Linked DNA regions of Arabidopsis thaliana. The protein of the gene in region 1 interacts with the protein of each later gene in a pairwise test. Each region holds a gene or a part of one and is shown on either strand. Other genes may lie near its edges.

Region 1 (3,753 bases):
CTTTGATCTTAATCAAGATATATGTCCTGATGAAACAGATGTCATTATGTCCTCCACATCTACAACCCCTGCTCCTATGTCTGTTTCATTTTCTGTCTCATCTTCTGCAATGCCTGCAGCAGCACCGTGGCATTTGGAAAGATCTCTTAGCGGGAAAGGATCAGCTGCTACGAGTGTATTTCACTCAGCATTACCTCATAAAGTTCCTAGTGGGGATTTAAGAGAAAAGCAGGTGATTTCTCGTGGTATCGATCTGAACGTGGCTGAGGTAGGAGATGATCAAGTTGAAGATCTTACTCCTTGGAAACAGTTTCCTTTCTCCTCATCAAACTCTAGGGGTGGAGAGTCTTCACATGAAGCCAGTCTGCGAGGATCAAGCAAGTTCAACTTGGATTTGAATTGTATGAACGAGGACGATGAGATGCCTCCACCTTCTGAGTCGAAGATGGAAACAAGATTGTTTTTAAGTCACAATGGTCAGCAAAGCGCATCACCTGTCTCCTCATCGTCAGTTGCTCAACAATCAGGCAAGGAAGTAAACTTTGATTTGAATGACAGGCCACAGTTTTTCATTGATTCACGTGATCAGGGTCCCTACTATGGGCGGCACCCATGGAGTACAGCCTCCTATGGGGGGCACAAATTGGAAGAACCAGGTATATCTATCTTGGGTACAAAAGTGGAAGCTGACAGAAAAGACTCTGTACCTCAGATGGCTTCGTTCTTGTCCAATGGCAAGTCCCTCGAGCCTGCAACAGGTTTACACATGGGAAGAACGGGAAACTCTTTGGGTCTAGCCCCTGGTGTCTCCTTTTCTCCAGCCCCTATGTATGGCTACAACGGATTGACTGGTCCTCCTGGTTTGTCAATGTCATCACCCATGTATGTTCCTGGAACTGCTATTCCATACATGGTGGATTCAAGAGGTACCCCAGTGATGATGCCGCAAATAATCGGATCAGCGCCGTATGTGCAGCCACCATTCCCTCAACAACACATGTTCATGAGCTTGGCGGGTGGATCGCCTAGTACGAATGGATCAATGCGGCCAAACTTTGATCAGAACTCTGGGTTTGGACTTGAGATAGGAAACAGAGAGTCGCTAAATTTGAGGCAGTTTCTATCACCTTCACAAAGCGGGGCTATGGGAGAGCATTCAGGAGCAAATGTAGAGCCCTCATCGAGTTCTTCTATCAGCATTGGTGGAAAGCGAAAAGAGCCGGAGCCACGTTGGGAGTTTCCTCCATGGAGGTGAGTGATCTACAAAGTGGTGGAGATGGGTTCTTGAATAGGTTGATGAATTGATTGATTGGTCAAAGGATGATGACAAGTGTTTTGAGGTAACTTATAAAGTGTCTTGCTGAACTTTTCCTTCTTTTTTTTTTATTTCCTCAGTTTTCCCATTTTTCAGGTTTTTTATTTTATTTCATAACATATAGGAGGATTAGTTCAAACATTGGTATATGTCAAGCTTCTTTTTAACCTTGTTGGGTTTTTCTCCATAAATAAATATATAGTTTTAAGATACAGAAAAGGTTCTAGTGGTTTGATTAATCTGTTGCGTCCATTTTCGTTCCATTCGTCGATATGTTATGCTCTCATTTCTGAACAACTGTTCATGGAAGAAAGCAGCGAAGGAGGTCTCTGGTGAGGAAGGAAGTCTCTCACGTGTTGTATCTTTCAATAAATAATGGGACCAAATAGACATTACCATTTTTGAACCGCGCATACATATTGCTACTACGGATGAGTGATGACTATGATCTTCCCAAATTGACAAATTGTATCGCCTTTAGGCGAGACTTTAGCCATCAACCGATTAAAGCCAGCCAAACGTAATAACCTTGGCAAGCATAATCATCGTTGTACAAAGAAAAACATCATTTTACTTTTGTATCCGACATCAATAAAAGCATAGCATCCTAATATCCAATAGTTATTTGTCACATGTAAAACAACTAAATATAGCCGTCCGATCGTCCCAATTAGGACGTAAACGAATATCACCGTTGATTTAGCATACTTTGATAATTTAAAAGTCGTCCATCCACGCCACAACCCCGAAATCCACGTCGCTCCACGTCAAGAACAAAACCTTGCTCCAATACAAAACTACCACGTGGCTATCTCACAATACGATCCGTTAGATCTGACACGTTGGCAAATCATGACGAAGCTAACCAATCAGGAGAAACTAAAGTGTACGCAACTAAACAGTTCACACATCACTGAATCATTTCCTATTATATACGGATCTATCGAGCTGAATCATCATCATCACTGAGTAACCCGAAAGCAAAGACTGAGAGAACCAAGGCTCCGATCTAACAATGAGGAAGAGGACGCTCGTGTCCGTTTTGTTCCTTTTCTCGCTTCTGTTTCTTCTTCCAGATCAAGGTACGTTTCGATGTATATATGTGTTGATTTTGAGTAGATAGATATAAGTGTTGCTTAGGATTCATATGCTGATGATGGCGATATTTCTGTGGTGTTTATCATAGGAAGAAAGTTACACGCGAATGCAGAAGAGAGTTCCGATGATGTTACAGATCCACCAAAAGTTGAGGAGAAAATTGGTGGTCACGGTGGTTTATCGACGGATTCCGATGTAGTTCATAGGTTAGTGTTCTGTTAGTTTCACGGTAGAACTTTCGCTTGGATTGCTTGAATCTTGCCTTATTCGAATTCGTTTGATCGACAGAGAGTCTGAGTCGATGTCAAAGAAGACGCTTCGCAGTAACGCGGAGAAGTTTGAGTTCCAAGCTGAGGTTTCTCGGCTTATGGACATTATTATCAACTCTCTATACAGTAACAAGGACATTTTCTTAAGAGAGTTGATCTCCAATGCTTCTGATGTAAGCAGCTTCGTGTACATTGTTTTAGTGAGTTTTTGGGATACCTCGTTAAATAGGGGAACTAATAAGTGTCTGTGTTGGTGATTTTCAGGCCTTGGACAAAATTAGGTTCCTTGCACTCACTGACAAAGACGTTTTGGGTGAAGGTGACACTGCTAAGCTTGAGATCCAGGTTAGCTACATGTTTCTCAATATGATTTTTATGCTTGAGAGTGTTGAAAATAGAGTTTCATCGATTTGTTTTATCAAATGCTGATCTCAGTAAATTTAGCCTTTCGTTGGAATTGTGTCTAGTGTAAGCTTTTTTCTTACCTCCGTAACTATGCTATGGTATGCAGATTAAGCTAGACAAAGCCAAGAAGATTCTTTCTATTCGAGACCGGGGAATTGGTATGACTAAGGAAGACTTAATCAAGAACCTTGGTACCATAGCAAAATCTGGAACGTCAGGTACGTTACTTATGTGGTGATACGTTGTCCTGCATAATAGTATGGATCAATAAATTCCATATTTCTAAGATCTTGCCTTTCGCAGCTTTTGTTGAGAAAATGCAATCAAGTGGGGATTTGAACCTTATTGGACAATTTGGAGTTGGATTCTACTCTGCCTATCTTGTTGCTGACTACATTGAAGTCATTAGCAAGCACAATGATGACAGCCAGTAAGTTGATTTAGAGGGCTTTGTTTGGCAATATACTTGTGGGCATGTAAAATCATTGAAAAGCTTTTCTGATAACTTCTTTTCCGTTTTCAGGTATGTATGGGAATCAAAGGCTAACGGTAAATTTGCTGTTTCCGAGGATACATGGAATGAGCCTCTTGGACGTGGAACCGAGATTAGATTACATCTTAGGGATGAAGCTGGCGAGTACCTAGAAGAAAGTAAACTTAAGGTGG
Region 2 (3,753 bases), 3.1 Mb from region 1:
CGTGTACAGCCATTTTAGCCACTCTCCAACAAATCGAAATGCATATGCAGATGCTAGCAGAGGAAATAGCCTGTTCTGCTGAGTTTTATAATCAATCACCTGTGATAACAACAAGCATAAATATATCACATTCCCTTTTCTAGCCAACATAATAGTCAGCAGACGTTGATGAGAGTTTTAAAAAGCTATGCAAAACCAAGCCGAAGAAAAACAGTTCACCAGAAACTTACAGACAAATTTGGCTAAATATGCAAAATATTCTTACAAGCAAAGTTTTTCAAGGTAAAATAGACTTTGAAATTTGTTATGATCCAACATCAATGGGTGTAAACAACCATGCGTATCCTTGATTTTTGAATAAGTACCTGTGTCTCAATGCCACCATTATGTGCGCCAAATTGCCTCCGCACTGCACTGTATCTTGTAGCTATGCAAACTGCTCGAGATAGTGCATTGGAAGCATCAGCCACAATTGTTTGTCTCACATACACCATAGTACCATATACCAGCTGCTTTGGAACATCCGATGGAACATATTCTCCTTCTCTTGTAACTTTTGACAGCCTGAAACGTTTTGAAAGAGGAGAAAAATGTAGAACCATAAGCCCGAGTTTATGCACAAGCAATTTCCTCTAGAACTATCATTACATCGTGAATGCTAATTAAAATCAGACCCGAAAGGCAAAGAGAGAGGACCTCATGAGCATTTGATCTCTAGGAATGCGAACATGATCAAACATAAGAAACCCGTTGTCCATTGAATTATATGCTCCATTTCCCATCTTTGTCCCGATATCACCAACAGTTATATTCGGAAGAGGAGAATGATCTTCTAAGCTTCGCAGTTGCACGATGAATCCTGGAAGAGAAAGTTTAAGAAAGCAATACCCAAGCAAGAAAAATTGAACAAAAAAAAAATACTGGAAACTTTTCCCGGTACATACCATGGATACCGTAGTCTTTTCCGTTAGTTATGAGACGAGCGTAAACAACAGCATGAGTAGAAACTTTTCCCAAACCACCAGGCCACCACTATTCAAACAATCAAGACAGATGAAAATCTTACACAACCAAGAGAAACTGTGCATAATACTCAATCAAAGGCTTCTTGGTATACTTACTTTGGATGCAGTCTGAGTTGGAGTGTGAATTACAAACTCATCAGTCTTGGGATCAAATGTGGCAGTTGTCTCAAGTCCTTGAACATTTGAGCCATGACCAAGCTCAGTCTGTGCATAACACCCAATAATCTGCATCTTATTGGCCAGCGACAACCACTTCTTCTGCTGCTCCTCTGTACCCTGCCCCTTAATAGCAGGCACAAACATTCCCTATAGAGCAGAGATACAAAAACAATGAATCAAAGAATCAAAATCCTGTCTCCAGAAGATAAATGAGACGCAGGTAGTACCCAGTGCAGATCCACATAGGCAGGCTGGTCGATAAAGTGCCTCAATCTTCCTGCTTCTTCCTCTGTAACAAACAAAAAATGAAAGAGCACAATAATAAGACGCAATCAAAAAACCTTGATAACAATACGTGTGTGAGAACAATCCATACCATTGAGACGAAGCTCGATAATCCTTTTAAACGCATGGGCACATTTTCTCAACGTACTCTTAAACAGCTCCTTCCTACTCAACCGAGCTCGATTGCTTTTCTCAAATACCTATATAAACAAGATTGAGAAATTCACAAATCTAAGAGAGACCTAATCATATTCCCTCGCCGCAAAAACATTTCCCGGAATCCAAACGAAACCAGAACAAAAATCAACGAGAATCGCGAAGAAATTCACCGGATCGCTGGCGACAAGGCGGGCAATTCGATCGGAAACCTCAAAAGCGTGGCGGGAACCAGCCCAGACGATCTTCATATCCTCAACGTCGAACTCTGCTTTGTTTCTCTCATCGGCGAGGTGATCAATTCCTTCCATGATTCGTAATTCAGAATCTAGTAGCTAAACACTCAAAAGTTTCTCGAGAAAACTCTCAGAGATGATAGGAAAAAAAAAAAAAAAAAACAGAGGGAGAAAAAGAAGGACAATGCCTCACTCTACCGATTTAATTGCAGAGTAGTTGGAAGAACAATTAAGCTTTTTATTTCGGAGATAAAAGAAGAGAAAGACAAATTGATTTAAATATAGACTCTTTTTTTTCTTCTTTCTATAATTAATATATTTTGGGTTTATCTTTTTCTCAGATCCACTCTCCGACATAGATAAAACCCACGTGGAAAATAATAAATTTTGGATTATATATTCCTAATATAAGTTAATTAGTCAACGAATGTTGAAAACAAATTAAGTTGTTTGCAAATAAAACCTCGCAAGTATGGAATAATGTGATTTTTTCCCCCTCATATATATATTTGACTAAGAAAAAAAGGATATCTACGTATAGAAAATTTTATATGCTGTATAACAAAGGATATTTGACAGACAAAAAGTGGTTGTATTTCAGTATTTGTGTACTAAAATAAAATTTAAAATATCGTTAAATCAGATGTGTGGATAATTTTTTTTTCTTTTTCCCATATGTGTTTCCATATGAATTAGTAAATGCATGCATCTGAAGAACATGTTGATAAAAAGAAGATAAAATAGTTAGATTGAAGATAAGATAATGTTTTGTTATCTTGTGTTTAAAATAGTATTTTGTTCCAACTTTGCAGGTATAGTAGCGTTATGCACATTTCGAAGAAAATAAAAATAAGATTTAAGGGCCCGAATGGTGACTGCGTTTTGCAGGTTCAAATAATAACGAAAATACATAAATATATATATATATATATATAGATTTTGATATTGAAATGTGATTTTGGGTATGGTCTATGTCAACATTCATTTGTGTTTTTGTGTCTGTCAAATGCATTTGCTTGTCAACTGTATGGTAAAACTTGATTAATATTTGTGTTTCCTTCAAAGTATAGTTAAGTAATTACACTTGTATACAACCGTATTATTCTCGTAAATATTAAAATGTTTGTCTTTTGAATTGAAACAGTAATGTCCCTATAAACCACAGAAAATTCGCCATGTGTATGAGTATGGTCCAAACACGTAAACGCCCATTCAAGTTCCACGGCTTTTAAACGTGTCTATCTTTGAGACTTTGACTGACTAATCATTTTCAAGTTCCATAAGTTTCACTAATTAAACATTATGGTACGTAGAAGTTTGAACACTATTTTTTTCTTACATTTCGTCACAAACATAAGACTAGGAAGTGGCGTATGTTAGCCTGAAACGCTCCTTGATATAGTCGCCGGCGAGAATAGGCGGGAATCTGCACCGATGGAACTAAATCTTTATGAGAGAAGGACTAAACTTTTATTCTTTTACACTTGAAGACCAAATGATTTAACAAACGTGTAACGTGCCTCTCCTCACACCCTTAAATTGGATTAAGATTCAAGAAGAAATACCTTGGGGGACAAGTTTCGCTGCAACAACTCTCCAAGCATTTCACATTACAATCTGGATTGGGATCTAAGAAGAACACCACCTACAAAAAACTTTTCCTTTAAATAACTCAAAACTTTATCAATTTGTATAGAAATTAGAAAGAAAGAAACAAGACAAAGCTACCGAGTAACGTTCTTTTCCCACCGGCATCACTCTGTGCAATGTAGACCTAAACCCATTACAAGAAAATACGAAATGTGAAGAACGCATAAAAACCGCACTCACGACTAGGTAAACTGGTTTAAGTTTACCGAAACAATCCATTGGTCCATCTCTCCATCATATCA

The links. The genes of interacting proteins can lie anywhere in the genome.
Region 2: the proteins of SHD (region 1) and ACX1 interact in a two-hybrid assay, tested with the Arabidopsis thaliana proteins (one study listed by BioGRID).

Annotation. Positions count from the first base shown.
Region 1 is NC_003075.7:12,554,429-12,558,181, reverse strand, and holds the start of SHD (Chaperone protein htpG family protein), read left to right. Parts: upstream 1-2,123; 5' UTR 2,124-2,330; coding exon 2,331-2,397; coding exon of another isoform or gene 2,398-2,401; intron 2,402-2,501; coding exon 2,502-2,619; intron 2,620-2,701; coding exon 2,702-2,855; intron 2,856-2,946; coding exon 2,947-3,027; intron 3,028-3,193; coding exon 3,194-3,305; intron 3,306-3,390; coding exon 3,391-3,517; intron 3,518-3,610; coding exon 3,611-3,749; intron 3,750-3,753. Other genes in the region: AT4G24200 (Transcription elongation factor (TFIIS) family protein), read left to right, coding at 1-1,255. UniProt on the Arabidopsis thaliana protein: May have a molecular chaperone role in the processing of secreted materials. Required for shoot apical meristem (SAM), root apical meristem (RAM) and floral meristem (FM) formation, probably by regulating the folding of CLAVATA proteins (CLVs).
Region 2 is NC_003075.7:9,426,754-9,430,506, forward strand, and holds the start of ACX1 (acyl-CoA oxidase 1), read right to left. Parts: upstream 2,142-3,753; 5' UTR 1,937-2,141; coding exon 1,799-1,936; intron 1,670-1,798; coding exon 1,561-1,669; intron 1,474-1,560; coding exon 1,412-1,473; intron 1,332-1,411; coding exon 1,122-1,331; intron 1,033-1,121; coding exon 945-1,032; intron 860-944; coding exon 697-859; intron 565-696; coding exon 366-564; intron 100-365; coding exon 1-99. Other genes in the region: AT4G16765 (2-oxoglutarate (2OG) and Fe(II)-dependent oxygenase superfamily protein), read right to left, coding at 3,221-3,287, 3,427-3,506, 3,590-3,635, 3,718-3,753. UniProt on the Arabidopsis thaliana protein: Catalyzes the desaturation of both long- and medium-chain acyl-CoAs to 2-trans-enoyl-CoAs. Most active with C14-CoA. Activity on long-chain mono-unsaturated substrates is 40% higher than with the corresponding saturated substrates.